2 linked regions of the Bombyx mori genome follow. The protein of the gene in region 2 purifies or fractionates together with the protein of the main gene of each other region. This does not show direct contact. Links are inferred from orthologs where the notes say so. Each region holds a gene or a part of one and is shown on either strand. Other genes may lie near its edges.

What was found.
Region 1: the proteins of mRNA-capping enzyme (region 2) and transcription elongation factor SPT5 purify together in Homo sapiens (affinity purification with mass spectrometry; 3 studies listed by BioGRID and IntAct, with this or other methods). This does not show direct contact. The link is inferred for Bombyx mori from reciprocal best matches to the Homo sapiens genes RNGTT and SUPT5H.

The regions. Positions count from the first base shown.
Region 1 is NC_085110.1:18,085,783-18,089,914, forward strand, and holds the start of transcription elongation factor SPT5, read right to left. Parts: upstream 2,809-4,132; 5' UTR 2,649-2,808; coding exon 2,449-2,648; intron 2,366-2,448; coding exon 2,287-2,365; intron 2,202-2,286; coding exon 2,070-2,201; intron 1,296-2,069; coding exon 1-1,295. UniProt on the Homo sapiens protein: Component of the DRB sensitivity-inducing factor complex (DSIF complex), which regulates mRNA processing and transcription elongation by RNA polymerase II.
Region 2 is NC_085110.1:3,886,306-3,890,247, forward strand, and holds the start of mRNA-capping enzyme, read right to left. Parts: upstream 2,810-3,942; 5' UTR 2,503-2,809; coding exon 2,317-2,502; intron 2,093-2,316; coding exon 1,956-2,092; intron 1,544-1,955; coding exon 1,376-1,543; intron 854-1,375; coding exon 750-853; intron 355-749; coding exon 297-354; intron 1-296.

The DNA of each region.
Region 1 (4,132 bases), about 14 Mb from region 2:
AGCTCGTGCATGGTGAGGTCGGAAACAAGCACGACCCTGTGCGGTTCGACGCGCACTATGAGGCCTGTGTCGCCCTCGTAACGCCCAGCCACCACTTTCACGTGATCACCCATTTTGAAGTACTTGCGCAACTCATTCGGATGGAAGACAATTGGGTCCTTAAGACCATCGTGTTTTGGCATGACAGTGATCATCGAACCGTCGATAGCAGTGATGCGGGCCTGCAAGTTCGCAAGATCTCCAGTACAGACTTCCACATTGTCACCCATGGAGAAGGAATGCAAGCCGGCAGGGTCGTCCTTGGCGGGAGCAGCCAACTCAATATCGATACCTTCCGGTTGCTCTTCAAATCTTTCCAACTCTGTAAGTGAAGGCTTGACACCTTCTGACAGTATCGCCGACATTGTAAAGTTTTTATACAGAAATCCTTTCCTAGAGTACCTATTGCCCTCAAATATGAGGAAATCACCATCGGAAGTAACTTCTCCACCGATCGCTCGGATTGCCTCTGGATCAAAGGGTTTAGCAGGAGGCCTTCTCTTTTTCTTTCGCTTTGCTGCTTCACTATCGCTCTGTACTGTTCTTAAAGCTCCTCTCAGTCTTGTATAATCTATTCTAGGAAGTAGTTTCAAATGCACTTGATTCTGTGCCAAGTCTACATAGTCAACTTGAGCAATATCATCTTTGTATAAACCTCGTTTTAATCTGACCCATTGTTTCGGTTTAAGTCCTGATTGCTTTTTGACTACTCTGAGAACATCAGTCATTTCCTTAATAGGCACCATTTCTTGTTTCCACACTCCAGACTTAAGGGTTCCCACTTTGTCTATAATGTTTTTAACATGTGTCTGCTTGAAAGCCTCTATGTACACATAGCCTTTGACTCCTTCTGGTGCTACAACTGACTTTATCAAAAAAGGTTCTTCCGAGAATTGGAAAGCAATAAATTTTCGCATCAAAAGTAAAACAGTAGCCTTCTCTTCTCCAATCCTACATCTGACCATCCACAAATTTGGATCCTTGATACCGGGTAGTAGAGTTTGCTGAGTTATTTCATCAGACATCTCTTCTCCACCTTCACCAAAGTGTCTGAGGGCTGCTGATTCATCTGCATACTTATTTCGAAGATATTCTTCAATCTCCTCCTCTTTCTGTGAATCCCAAAGGTTAGTGCCTCTTCTTCGACCTTCAATTTCTCTAGCTGTTGGCCCAATTTCATCTACTTCATTTCCTACAATACCCATTTCTTGGGCTCCCTCTTCCCATTCGTCATCTTCATCAACTTCATCATCCACCTACAAGATAAAGTTATTTCAATTTATTTTATATACTTAGTACTTTTTATGCTCTTTCAAGAACTCACTATATGATTTACTATTCACTATTACTCGTATTACTCACTATTTGATACAGTATCTTCAATTACTCATTTTATTGAAGTTTTGAGCTAATGAGTGCAATTTGTGATGTCTATGAGCCCTACAGGGCTTGAGGCCTGAACAGTAATACAGAAATTTGACAGCCAATATATGGCAACAAAAATAACATACAATAGTTGACATAGGAATATGATCGGCTATGTTAGCCACAGCACAGCCACATCACACTGTGACAGTTATAAACGGAGTTTGAAGTGGTCGCCGTGGCCAAAATCAACTAAGGTAGTAAGAGAGTAGTAGTAGTAGCAGTGACTTAAAACACTGTTTATGAAATAGTAAATCTTCAATCGTTCATCTTAGCTCTAAGGCTTATGTTGAATTATGATTTTTGTGTGAATAGGCAGGCACACTATGTAGCAATGTTCTAAATTATATTGTCACAGTTAGCTAAATTATAACTAATAACACAGCTTTAATCTGCATTATTCACGGATACAGTGTGTGGTAAAATTATATATACAATAATGCAGAAAAGTCCACATCAAATGAAAAGTAGCATTAATTAATCACACTTTATATATGAAAATGACAAAAAAAAAATTTCTTTAAACTTTTCTTTGTAATCTCGTTTTTTATATTAACCTCAAATTTCGTAGCATAGACAAATGAAAACCAATTTCAATTGCATACCTCAGCTTCGTCAATAATGAATCCACCATAACGACTGTCCTTTTTTCTTTTCTTCCTCAGCCTCTCCTCTTCTTCGTCTTCTTCATACTCCTCAGAATCAACCAAATCCTCACCTTCGGGCTCTTGTTCATCCTGTTGATACAGTTTCATAAAATATTGTATAGCCCAAACAGAAAGTTATCTACAATTTCAATATTAAATGTTATTTATGCGTTACCTCCACTTCTTCATCGCCAGATGCTTCTTTGGCTTCATCATCTCTATTTTTACTTGCATCTGAACCTACTGAACGACTTCTGTGAAACAAAACAACCCTCATAAAGTCAAGTGAAAAGATACACGGAAAACTTATTATTTACTTAGACTACCCGGATTTTACCTAGAGCGAGACCTAGATCGTGAGCGGGATGGAGTCCTAGAGGGGCTACGGCTTCCAGAACGCGACCTGGACCTTGATCGAGAGATAGAACGCGATCTTGCCGACCGATTCGATGCAGCGCTGCGATGTGATTGTTTTGATACAGCACTGCCTGCCTCGGACCCACTCCCCGAATAGTTACTACCTTCCGAATCCGACATTACTACTTAAAACGAATGCATTCGAACCATTTAGGTAATATTTACTAAACTTATTTCTTTAAAACGAACACGCAACAAACGTCACGAAACAGTGTGACCCATAGATTATACTTTTATAGTGTGACCATTGAGAAAATAGATAATCTGCCCTAGGTTAACTGATTATCTACCCTCGCCGCGAAGAAAAAACCACAAAATATGCTAGGTACCTATTTTTTGCACTTCTCAAACCATTTCTGATTAAAATAAAACGCAATTCTAATTAAAAAATTGTTTTCTGCTATAAATTAAGGCCAAATTTACAAAAAAAACTCTCATTGCATTTTAATCCCATGTCTATAATTTTTTTCTTTATAAATGTAAATCATTCAGTCATGTTCCTTTTAGACCTTATTTCGGTGTACTAACGGTAGGAATACGTCTATTTAAAATTCTATTCCACAAACTTATTTTTGTTCATGTTACCTTGATAAACTAATAATACGAGTAAAGTGCGCAACACGTTTGTCACCAACAGTTTTAAACTGCTATTGCAAAAAAAATGTTATTGTCTTTTTTAAGTGAAAGCTTCTTTATCATCGTTGTGATTCGAAAGTCGATGAACAGAAAAAGCGATAGTAGAAAGAGACAGACACTTAAATTTTTAAGATTTAACGTGGGAGAAAATGAAGTAGCATTAGTGTTTCTTAAATTCGTGGTTCTCTTTGTGCTCTGCTTCGTACCTAATATTCGTACTTAATACATATTGAATAAATCTATGTAATTTAAACGAATAAAGTGTAAAATAAATATCAAACTTTGTATCACTATGAACATTACTATTTTAAAACATACATAATTATCCTCTCCCTGAAATTTTACATTAACTTGAAGCCAAAATTTTTGAAGATTTCACTTCTACCACGTGTGAGTTACACGCATAATATATGTTTTTAAAGCTAAATGAGTATATGTATGGAGTTTTAGAAGGGCCTTCAAATTTGATCCACAAAAAAATTTGCACTCTTTTAACTTGCACTAGTTTAAGTTTTCGTTATTTTGTGTTCAACTTAAAAACTTCTTTTTATTCGCCGAAAATTCTAAGCTTTATAATTTTAGAAGAAGAGCTACTTTATTTGATCCCAAATCTAACAAATTTTGCATATAAAAATTTCCATTCCGGGACGGCTAGGCTGGCAGATGTAAAGCATTGATATAATTTTGTATGGGTATAGATGCAAGGATATTATAAGACAGAAAATCCATGTGGAATAATGAAAAAGAAAACATTAATATTAAGAAACTGTTGCTTGCACATGACGACTCGTCATAGAGATGTTTCACAGTAAAACCACAAACTTCTCTTTTCGCGTTCCTGTCAGAATAATTATGTTACTAAAACTGATGGCTTACTTTTGTGTTTTATCAGACCAAACAAAAAAAAACAGATCTAAAAGTATTGACTCTAAGTTCTCTCCTATAATCAAGCATGCTTCGTAAATCGT
Region 2 (3,942 bases):
TACCGCTAACTTCATAACACGGAAGTAGCTCGTGAGCTCTATTAGTCATCTATAGCAATTAAGAAGACCTATTAGTAACTGGCTTCAGCAGTAAGTACCCTACCCAGTTTTATGAGGCAATGGAATGTGTTCGTACCAAGAGTTACTACCTGAAAGTTCAAGTACGACCAATGACCGACGTGAACAATTTTAACAAACAGTTATTATTCTTGTATACCAATCACAGCGGAATATGGTCAGGTTTGACTAGATATTAATAAATATAAAAATTTACCTAAGGAATAACAAGAACTTACTCTGATGTATCCTGTGTAGCACTCGGGTTGTCATCATCAGATTCTTCTTCTTCTATTTCTGTAATTTGAGATTATTAATTCCATGGTTAATTGCACAATGGATCAATTTATAAGATATATTCATATTGGCTGACACAATGCTAATTGTTAATTGGCAATCACAGTGAAGCAGTTGCGTTTAGTGATAGATGGGACAATGATTATACAATACATAAGAGACAGTCTATGGTTTTCTGAAAGCACTTTACACATCATTGACCAGCAATATTACCTAAAAATTTACATCATGTCACCGGCTATTATTTCTTAATTGGATGTGGAAGTAATAAAATGTAAGCATTAGTAATTTTTTTATATACAGCAGTAGTCAACAATGTGTTGACCACATGAACAATGAAATTGATCTAATTGAGATTGTCTGGCCTATTTCACCTACGTTGTTTTTGTGCTTACCATTGCACCAGTCAGGTCTTGCAGGAGCCATTGGAGTATCTTCAACATCTCCATATAGTTTGAACAATTCAGTGAGGTAATCTTGCTTGTATATTCCTGGAGGTCTGCAAATCAAACAAAGCCAAATTTTTTTAGCCCAAGCAAACAATAACCTGAATACCACTACTTTGACACTGACTTGAAAATTAAATACGATTACATTGATACAAGTTGTGTGAACTTTAAGCTGTATTTCTTTTTACTATCATTTTAAGCAGACATGCACACGGGCTTCTCAATGGCCATGATATTTTTTTTATATTTTTACTTGAAAACAAAGAGATTTAAACATAAATACAGCACAGCAAACTGAATAATCCAGGGGCAGGTACTTAGCAGTAACAGCAGTGGTGTTTGTGGGCTTTTCTAACCACTTAACACCTAGTGGGTCATATGCTCATTCACAGGCTACTCAATCAAAAAAAACATAGTTCTTATTTTCTCAATTTAGAGCCAAAGGAAATGCAAGCTTATTCCTATTAATTTTGTGATGTAATTTGAGAATGGTTAATGAAAATTTACACACATTAATTTTATTTTCAAAACACATACATTTCATTGAAAGCAAGACCATAAAATATATTTACCTTTTTGTATTAAACTCTTTTAAGGCAGCTTCAATACTACAGTCCATTTCTTGAACCATGAAAGACACAATCAAGAAACCGGTTCTGTTAAATCCATGTGTGCAGTGAACAGCTATGAGCTCAAGAGGTTTTTTCTTCATAAAGTTCTTGACAGTGTGTATGAAGACCCTGAATCCAATAAGGCGTTTTAACTTCATTGTCTGGTTTCAAACACTAACAAAATAAGACTAATTTTTATTAATCAACACACTGTATTCCTCTTTTCTAACACAAGTACCAATTACATGAAGCATGGCATTAAACCAGTAACAGGGATATTTTTTTTAAATCTATTTTTTTGCATTTAGTTATTTTGATTCTTTAAACATCACATCATAACACCATTATATGTCAATGATTATATGAAACACAACAAACAAACTTGTAAATATATTTTTCACTTTGTAATTCACATCCAATCTGTTAACCAAATGTCTATAATTTTTCATAATGAATACTTATTGTATTTATTATTCACATTGACTGAAATGTATAATTTATAATTATTGTATATTATAAATATTATAACACTGCATCAAACCTTATTTGGTCTTCACTCGGTGCCTCTCCGTGACCTTTGCATTGTATTTTCATATATTTACAGTCCATTTCCTCTATCTCCCCTTTATCGTAAAATCTGCTTGTATTTGTGAGATCAATCCATAAACCTATTTTTTTCTAAAAGAAAACAATTTTTTTTTCTAGACGATATGAAAAATGTTACCGCATGCTCAAAAGTTGCGTGTACAAAATTGTAAATGAATTTTATGAGATACAATGACTCGTATATATTCGTATATTTTTGAGTCTCAAATTTAATTTATGATATTATTGTTATTTTTATGCAAATATAAAATTAACTAGTCTTAATTGTTATATTAACTTGAGTAATCTCTTTTTACCTTAATACTTTTAGAGAAGTCGAAAATCATTTTAGGCGTAAAACGACACTTTTCGGGCACTTTTTCATTGAATTTTGTGCCCAATGGTGTTTTAAAGGCTAAAAACGATTGGGCTATTAAAGATGTACACTTTCTCGGGCAATTCAACCACCTACTGGGCAGTGGACCTGGATCACTTTTCGACATTTTCAGCAGAGCTACAAGCCTAGTTAAATAATACGATTCAACTTATACACAATCCAAAAGAATACAAAAATGTGTCTCTGGCGTTTTGCTTTTGAGTTATCTTCACAAACTATAATAACAGTGTATCGTCCTAGTAGTCAAATCTCAGAAATTTTTCTTGAATTTTAATTCAATAAACAAATATCTGTAGTACTCTCGTGTTCTTTAGCTTAATGTTTTTTTTATTAAATGTATGTTAATCTATGTTGTCGACAACCTTAAATCCTGTGTCAGTCTATGATTCTGTGCTGTTGACAGTGACAAGACAAGCACAGGCTAGCAAGAAAAAAGCATTAAAACCATAGACCTAGGTTTCCTACTTCAGTGATTAAAACCTATGATACTACGGAGGGTAGGGCTCACTGAATTTGGCCTCCTTTTTTTTATTTTCGGATTGTTTTTATTTTTAATTATTTGTTCGTCGTTTGTAAAAATTGTTTGTTCGTCTTTTATTAATTTATAATTAATTAAACAAATGATCACCCTTAAGTGGGCCCCTCTTACTAGATATCTTTATTTTTATCTTTAACAAATAATTAAATATAAAAAAAATCGGAAAAAAAATGGGTGCCAAATTCATTGAGCTGGAGGGTAGAGGTAAGGAGAACCGTCTCATATCCATATGGGAGAACTTTCAAAAAAGTGTCCCACTTTCACCACTAAATAACAGTTCAAAAATCCTCGAGAATGGCGCTAGCATAGGCACAGGGTATGATATGAATTGAGCAGTTGTTAACTCATTGAAGTATGCCGAGTTTGAAAATTTAATATATTTAATGACTAGAGTAATTAGTGACAGTGTAATATACAAGACCTCACATGTTTACGTAGTCCAAACTAATTTCAATAATATAACTTAACAATTTTACTGTCGATTACTGTTACTTCGATTGCATTTTCTTAGCAGCTTTAAATAAAATACTTTTTGTGATTTTGTGTTGCTTACAGTTCTTTCACCCTTTCTTATTTCTCTATCTTATTCTAATAACTTTTAGCGCCTTTTTTTAAATTTACCTCGGTGCTAATGTAGTGCCACCCTTATCTAACAGATTTTAACGAATACTTTTTCACATAGAGACGGTTCTACTTACCTCTACCCTCCATATTTTTTTTAATGAAATACGTACTCAACAAATGTTCATGATTGACTTCCACGGTGAAGGAATAACATCGTGTAATAAAAATCAAACCCGCAAAATTATAATTTGCGTAATCACTGGTGGTAGGACCTCTTGGGAGTCCGCGCGGGTAGGTACCACCGCCCTGCCTATTTCTGCCGTGAAGCAGTAATGCGTTTCGGTTTGAAGGGTGGGGCAGCCGTTGTAACTATACTGAGACCTTACAACTTATATCTCAAGGTGGGTGGCGCATTTACGTTGTAGATGTCTATGGGCTCCAGTA